Macaca mulatta: one gene and its partner. The protein of the gene in region 2 interacts with the protein of the main gene of each other region in a pairwise test. Links are inferred from orthologs where the notes say so. Each region holds a gene or a part of one and is shown on either strand. Other genes may lie near its edges. The genes, in order: SPEG and PRMT1.

Region 1 (3,802 bases), on a different chromosome or scaffold from region 2:
TCTGTGCACCTTTGCTTGTGTGTATGAATGTATGGGGGTAGGGGGCGCGCATGGGACAGTCGAGAGGTAAGGTAAGATAAAGCCCTCTCTGGCTTCCTTGAGAAGCCTGGGGGTTTTCAGTCTGAGTCCATGTTAACACGCAGTCCACACCTTCCAGGACCCTTGCCCTGCGTTTGACCTAGGCGCCCCCACCCGGCGCTGTGCCCTTCGGCGAGTTCGGTTCTGCCTGGCACAGTGTGTGTGCGCGCATGTTTGTGGAATGAGCAAGTAGAGATGCTGCTGACCTTCCAGAGAGGCCCCGTGGGAGGAGGTGAGGGTGGGAGGAGGCTGCGCTGGGCTGCCAGAAAGTGGCCTGAGCTAGAGGCCATTGCACCCCTTTCTGTGCCTCAGTTTCCTCATGTGCCTAGGGCTCAGGAGGCAGATACAGGGTGGGGGTCCGCGGCTCTCGGCGTCAGGAGGTGACTGGTGGTCGTGTAGGGAGGCAGGTGAGGGCCGCCCCGGGGTAAGCAGGGGGACAGGACAAGGAAGGGGCCCCAGGTGGGGTGCAGGCTGGCGAGGGAGGGGCGGACTCCAGCGCCGCCGCCGCCGCTGCCGCTGCCGTCGCCGCCTTACCCCCACCCGGCTCCCGAGGCCCCGGGCTCCTTCCGCCACCCGCGCCGGCTCCCGCCCGCTCCCCAGCTCGCCCCCGGCCCCGCCTCCGACTCCGCCCCGCCCCCGCCCGTCCCCTCCTCGCCCGGCCGCCGGCCCGGCCCCCTCCCCCGCCATGAAGAAGCTGTGGGTGAAGAAGCGTTTCCAGGTGAGGGCTCCGGGGGCGGGAGGCGCCGGGAGGGGGCAGGGAGGCCTGGGCGCCCCGGAGGGAGGGCGGGTCACCGCAGCTGGGCCCGGTGGAGGGGGCGCTGGAGCCGCGCCTGCCCCACCCGAGCCCCGCTGGAGGCGGCGGGCCGGGCGCGATCTAGGGGCTCCCGGGTTTGCGTCCTGGGCGCGCAGGCCCCTCCCCGCGCTGAAGGGCAGATCCCCCCGCTCCTCGATCGCCCGCAATCCCCGCGACCACCGGGGAAGACCCCCGCTGCAGCGTTCGGCGTGGGGCGCCCACTTGCTTCTTTGCCACCCCTTCTTCTCTCTCCTCTGTCCAACCTCAACCCCGGGCCCCGGCCCCCCGCCCGGCTTGCCCCAGCCCCCCACTCTGGAGCCTTCCATCTTCGGAGCTCCTGAATGCAACGCACACGGATCCGCGCTGAGCTCAACACATTCCCCAAGCCCTGCCCTGTCCTCCGCGCACCTGGGCCTCCTGCATTCGTGAGGCTCTGGCCCTCTGCCCCCAACATCCCTCCCCCACACCTACCCAGGTATCTGTCCTCCCCCAGCAGGAATCTGCGCCCTCGTTCCTTCATCTCCCAGTCACTCAAGCACCCTGCCCCCCGCATCTCCATCTTCTCCTTCTCCTCACTGAGCCTGACTACCTCGTCTTCTATCCTCTTTCTCTGGGGCTGTTGCCCTGGTCCCAGGCTGTGAGCCTCTGTCCAGTGGGACGTTCCAGCTTCCACCTGCAGCCTGCCGTTCTCTCCTTCCTCCCCCGCTCCTCGCAAGAGCCCAGCTGGGTACCCTGGAAGAAGGCAGGGGAGCCATTCCCTACCGGGGAAGCTGGTCACTCTGGGTCTCTGCCCACCTCCCCTCTCACACACACACTGGCCAGGGAATGAGTTTCTGCTTGATGTTGCAGTACTGGATGGGAGGCACAGGGACCTTAAGAACAAGCCTCCCCCTCAACTACTCATTCTGGCTTTTCTCTTTCAGAAAACCGGCCATTCCCGCCGGGCCTTTGGCCGACTCACCCATGGTGCGTGGACCGTGGGCGTCCTTGCTCTAGCCCATGCCTACTCCTCCTCTTGGTCCCTGTCCCTCTGTGAGGCATCAAGGCCCTTGAAGACAGCCCATGAGATATGGGACCCTCCCACACACCCCACACTTATCTACCACCCACCTGACCAGGCCCCCTGTGCCCTACAGCTGAGAGAGGACCCGGCAGCAGGGAGGGCGGCTCGCTAGCACACTGGGTGCCGTGTTCTCCATGTGAGGCCTAGTGGGAAGGAGTTCATTGCCATGCTTTGGCAACCAGTATGTGGCTCCTGCTTGTCATGGCAGCCAGAGGGAAACTGAGGCATAGAACCTGATAGAATCTGGGAAAGTTGAAAATACTCCCAGGAACCTTTGCTCCTAACCTAACCACTGGGCATTTTTGAGGACAATTCAACAGTAGAAGAGAGGGACCTTGAGGAAGGTGCCTGTCACATCATGATGCAGACAGATAAGGGGTTGGTTTGCAAGGAAGGGTCAAAGCACAATGCAAATATTGTAATAGAGGGTGGGCCTGACTCCTAATGGGAGGCCCAGGTCTGCGGCTGGACTGAACACAAGCAGGTGTGTGTGTGTGTGTGTGTGTGTGTGTGTGTGTGGCCAGTGGCGGCACCAGTAAGTGCCAAGGATACCAGAACCACTGGGGCAGCTGGAATAACCAGCCCAAGTATGGGGGTCCCCAGTGCTGGGCACATCCCAGGTATCTCCCTCCTCACCCATTGCCACAGGGCACCTCTGGGGACTGGGTACCTCATGCCCCTTCTGTCCTGACTGCCCTCCATGCCCTGCCCCACAAACGCTCTGATAACAGTCTGTCCCTGTCTCTCTCCTGCTGCTCCTATGGAAGCGAAGTTTTCCGCTCCTGCAGAAAGCAAAGTTACGGTAGGAAACTGGCTCCTGCTCTAGCCCCCCGCGTCCCCCGCTTTCCAACCCGGCCCCGGCCTCTCCTCACCCTGCCTCAGCTGCACCCGATGCCTTCCAGCTGGTTTGGGGTAGAGGACAGGCTGGCCCTGCGGTTGGTCGAGTGCCCTGGCGGTACGACTCTGAGGTGACTCCTCTTTGTTCCTGGGGTGCTTGAACCCAGACTTTAGAACCTTGGAACCTAGGACCTGATGATTTTGGGGGTGCACAGGAGCTTAAGCTTTCACTGACAATGGGAGGAGGGAGAATGGAGGAGGCCCTGATAATCCATTAAGATATTGGCAGATGGGGAGGGGGTGGCAGTTTGGAGGGCCCTACGGAGGTAAACGTGAGTAACCAGGGGCCCAGAGATGGAGCCACGGCACTGTCATGGGAGGGGTTATCCTGAGCAGCCCAGGCTGGGCAGGAGATGTGGGGAGCAAAAGAGAGGAGGTGCTGGCAGCCCTGCCAGTGATAAGATGGAGCCTGCTGTTGGCAGGGAGGCAGAAGGCAACAGGGAAGAGTTGGAGGCAGAGGGAGGAGGGCCCTGCCCACACAGACCCCTTCTTCTCCAGACTCAGAGACGGCTGAGGATGACATCAGCGATGTGCAGGGGACCCAGCGCCTGGAGCTTCGGGATGACGGGGCCTTCAGCACCCCCACGGGTGAGCTCCTGGGGTGTACAAAGAGCAGGCAGGCGGGTTTCCCACAAGGGGTGCCTCAGTCTCATGGTGCTCCTTTCTCTAGGGGGCTCTGACACCCTGGTGGGCACCTCCCTGGACACACCCCCGACCTCCGTGACAGGCACCTCGGAAGAGCAAGTGAGCTGGTGGGGCAGCGGGCAGACGGTCCTGGAGCAGGAAGCGGGCAGTGGGGGTGGCACCCGCCGCCTCCCGGGCAGCCCAAGGCAAGCACAGGCAACCGGGGCCGGGCCACGGCACCTGGGGGTGGAGCCGCTGGTGCGGGCATCTCGAGCTAATCTGGTGGGCGCAAGCTGGGGGTCAGAGGATAGCCTTTCCGTGGCCAGTGACCTGTACGGCAGCGCATT
Region 2 (3,664 bases):
GCTGCAGCAGAGGCAGAGGGGCCTCGTCTTGGCCTCTGTAAGATGGGTAGGCCCTGCCACCTTTGAGCTGCAACTCCCACTGACCTCCATGGAGGGCAAGTCCCCAGCCCTAAGCCCCAAGCCATGCTAGGGGAGGAAGCAGGGCCACACCCCCACAAGAAATTCTATCCTCCCCAACATACACCCCCAACCCACTCAGTGTCCCCAGCTGCAGAGGGCTGGGCACAGTTGGGCCTTGGAGGGACCCAAACAGGAAAAAACAGCCAGAGAGGTACAATGTGAGTGTTGGGGGAAGGTGGGGAGACTGTTCTGGGAAACTTGAGGGCTGGCTGTGCTGGAACGCCAACCCCATCCCCCACCAGGCAGGAGGACACAGGGGCACTGCAGAGGGGAGGGGCGCAGACCCAGGAGGGGATGAAGAGTGGGACAAAGACCCTGAGAGACAGCTGTGGATGGGAGGGAGCCTGAGAGAGCCGTGGAGGGGAGGGAGCCGGAGGGAGCCTGAGACAGCCGAGGAGGGGACAGACCCTGAGAGAGAGCCGTGGAAGGGAGCCAGAGGCCTAGCGACAGGGGAGGGGAGATGCAGATCCACAGAATGGCAGCCACCAGCAGGCTCCAAGGCCGGTCCCCCCACTGCTCAGGCTGGCACCTCAGCACCTGCGAAGGAAACCCCAAACCTCCTTTGCCCCCAGGAAATGGAACCAGACCCCAGCTGAGGATTTATTGGCGTAAATGCAACCATATAAAAACATAAGTTATGAAAAACACAGTCACGATGTGCCCTCCCCATCCCCCCAGCCCAGGCCCCTAAAACCCCCTTCTGTGGGAAGAAGGGAGAGGAAGGGGGAGCCCCGAAACCGCCTAGGAACGCTCAGCCCCTGGGCCCGTGCAGGGCGGGAGAGCCGGGCCTCAGCGCATCCGGTAGTCAGTGGAGCAGGACAGCTCGCACAGCTGGCCCTTGAAGTCCAGGTCGATGGTGAAGTCCAGGTCCCGCTGTGGGGAGAGGGCGGGCATGAGGGCGGAACCCACCAGGAGGTGGTGGCAGGGGGGTGCAGGCAGGCCATGCGCTGGGCTCCAGCTTCCTGCCCATCTCCACACTGCAGACCCCAACTGCTGGTCCCACCCTAGCAGCTGTCCTGACCCTGTCAAGGGACAGCGCCACGTGGACACCCTCAAGCCCACTAGGTTCACTCAGGAGCAGAGCCTGGCTGCTATCCCTTGCCCTTGGATTTCTCCATCAAGACGTTCCCTATCAGCAACGCAGTGATTGCTTCTTTCATAAATCAGAAAACCTCTCCCAAGCCCACTTCTGCTCAGGCAAACATTCCAGTGAAACGCAGTGGTCCAGCCTCTGTCTCCACTTCTCCTCCCAGGCTTCCGGAAGACCCCCCATACCCTCCAGCACAGGAAGAGGGGATCAAGTTGCCAACAGCCCCGAGGACTCCTCCTCCCTCTCCAGTATCTGTTTCCCAGCTAGCGCCGTGGCCCCAGGGGCTACAGGAGTCTTTGCAGGGGGTGGTCCTGTGGTTGTAGGACGTTTACCAGCCCCTGGCCCCTACATACCAGATGCCAGGAGCACCCCTTCTCCAGAGTGACAACCACAAATGTTTCCACAGATGGTGACGAACGTCCTCTGTCGGGGGTGGGGGGCACTGAAACTGCCCAGCTGACAACTGCTGCTGTCACGGGCTCGAGGGCGTCCCGGGGCCCACATTCCATGACTGCCCTGAGTGCCACCCACCCTCGCACCCATGGGCCGGGACTCACTCTTCCAGCCCACACCACTCCCGGTGACTCCAGGCTCCCGGCCTTCCATCCTCCTGCCTGCTCAAACCCGCCACACTGGACCTCTCTGCCCAGACCCTCTCTCCCAGAAGCCCCCCCCAGCTCCCCTGGAAACCCCCTGATCTCAGGTGATGGCAGCTCCTACCAGGTGCTCAGGAGGAAAAAGGGGGAGTGGAAAACAAAAAGCTGCCTTTCTCCTCCTCTCATGCCTCCCACCTGGGCTAGCAAACCCTGTGCGCTCTACCGGGGCCGCCTCTTGCCCTGGAGGTCACCCACGCCAACACCTGTCTGCCCTGCTCCCAGCCTGACAGACGTCACCTCCCACTGGCATCACCATGTCACTGATCCCCTTGTGTAGACTGGAAGCACCAGGAGGACAGGGCTTTGGCCTGGGTCCCCAGGCCCATCTTCCAGTAAATGCTAAGAAATCTGCTGTGTAGACAGGCGTGGGGCTGAGGGGCTCAGGGACCCGGGAACAGGCAGAGGCACTCGCCCCTGCCAGCTGCCCCCATCCGCCCCAGCTACCCCCATCCCCTACGCTGCCACCATTCCCCCCTACCACTGCCCCTATCCATGCTCCCCACCCCGGCTGCCACCCTCCTGCCCAGCTGCCCAGAGCCTCACGTTGTTCTTGGCATTGGGCCGCATGCCGATGGTGCCGAAGATCTCCTCGCCCGTCTTCACGGTCAGGTAGTCCTCCATGTAGAACACTGTCTGCTTCCAGTGCGTGTACGGGGACTCAGGGCCTGGGGGCGCAGGCGGGTCAGCTGGCCTTGGCCTGCTGCCCTGGCCCCAGTCTTGTGTTCCCTCTGTTGGAATGTCCACCCCCCTGACAGCTGACGGGACTGCTGTCCGTGAGTCACCTCCCTGTCATTCAGCTTTGGAGACAGGGACCGTGTCAGGCTTTTGTGGATGAGGAAACTGAGGCACTGCACACTCAGGTCACTTGCCCAAGGCCATGTGACTGCTACATGGCAGAGCTCACGCTGGAACACACATGTCCCCATGGCTCCCTCTGCCCGTTTCTTTTTTTTTTTTTTTTTTTGAGACGGAGTCTCGCTGTGTCTCCCAGGCTGGAGTGCAGTGGCGTGATCTCGGCTCACTGCAAGCTCCGCCTCCCAGGTTCACGCCATTCTGCCGCCTCAGCCTCCCAAGTAGCTGAGACTACAGGCGCCCGCCACCATGCCCGGCTAGTTTTTTGTATTTTTAGTAGAGACGGGGTTTCACCATGTTAGCCAGGATAGTCTCGATCTCCTGACCTCGTGATCCACCCGCCTCGGCCTCCCAAAGTGCTGGGATTACAGGCTTGAGCCACCGTGCCCGGCCCCTCTGCCCGTTTCTGTCACCCCCTCCACTATGTGGGTGCCCCTCGGCCCTGGCTCAGGAGCAGCCCCCAGCCCTGCGGGCCCCGCCTCACTGGTGGAGAAGCCCGTCCTCTTGTGGCAGCGCGTGAACTCGATGTTGAAGTAGGCCACCAGGGCGTGCACGTAGTCATTCCGCTTCACTTGCAGGCAGAACGGGGAGGTGAACGTCAGGTCTTCCACCTTGACGGTGTAGATGTCCACCTCCTGCAGGACAGGAGAGGGTGAGCTCCGGGATGTGTCCCCACCTCGCTTCATCCCCTCCTCCCTCCCTCAAGCTCCCAGAGGGCCTGTGACCTCACTGTCCCCTTCCCGCTGGCCCTCCCTTACTGGCACCCAGCCTCAGCTCCTCATTCACTCCTCATCCTGACTGTCCGGCTCCCAATAAACCGCCTCGGTTTGAGCCCAGATTCTTTGCTCCCTTCTCTCCCGCACCCAAACCTGGCGCCGCCACCCTAACTCTGTCCAGAGCCCACCCCGCCCCGACCCCACCTGGCCAGACCTCCTGGGAATGCAGG

The links.
Region 1: the proteins of PRMT1 (region 2) and SPEG interact in binary tests that used the Homo sapiens proteins (3 or more experiments, as listed by UniProt). The two-hybrid records come from large-scale screens. The link is inferred for Macaca mulatta from reciprocal best matches to the Homo sapiens genes PRMT1 and SPEG.

What each region holds. Positions count from the first base shown.
Region 1 is NC_133417.1:124,683,272-124,687,073, forward strand, and holds part of SPEG (striated muscle preferentially expressed protein kinase), read left to right. Parts: intron 1-756; exon of another isoform or gene 757-763; coding exon of another isoform or gene 764-796; intron 797-1,794; coding exon of another isoform or gene 1,795-1,837; intron 1,838-2,706; coding exon 2,707-2,736; intron 2,737-3,329; coding exon 3,330-3,419; intron 3,420-3,501; coding exon 3,502-3,802.
Region 2 is NC_133424.1:62,140,793-62,144,456, reverse strand, and holds the end of PRMT1 (protein arginine N-methyltransferase 1), read right to left. Parts: intron 3,354-3,664; coding exon 3,203-3,353; coding exon of another isoform or gene 3,111-3,202; intron 2,811-3,110; coding exon of another isoform or gene 2,753-2,810; exon of another isoform or gene 2,532-2,752; coding exon 2,410-2,531; intron 994-2,409; coding exon 910-993; 3' UTR 708-909; downstream 1-707. UniProt on the Homo sapiens protein: Arginine methyltransferase that methylates (mono and asymmetric dimethylation) the guanidino nitrogens of arginyl residues present in proteins such as ESR1, histone H2, H3 and H4, FMR1, ILF3, HNRNPA1, HNRNPD, NFATC2IP, SUPT5H, TAF15, EWS, HABP4, SERBP1, RBM15, FOXO1, CHTOP, MAP3K5/ASK1, MICU1 and NPRL2.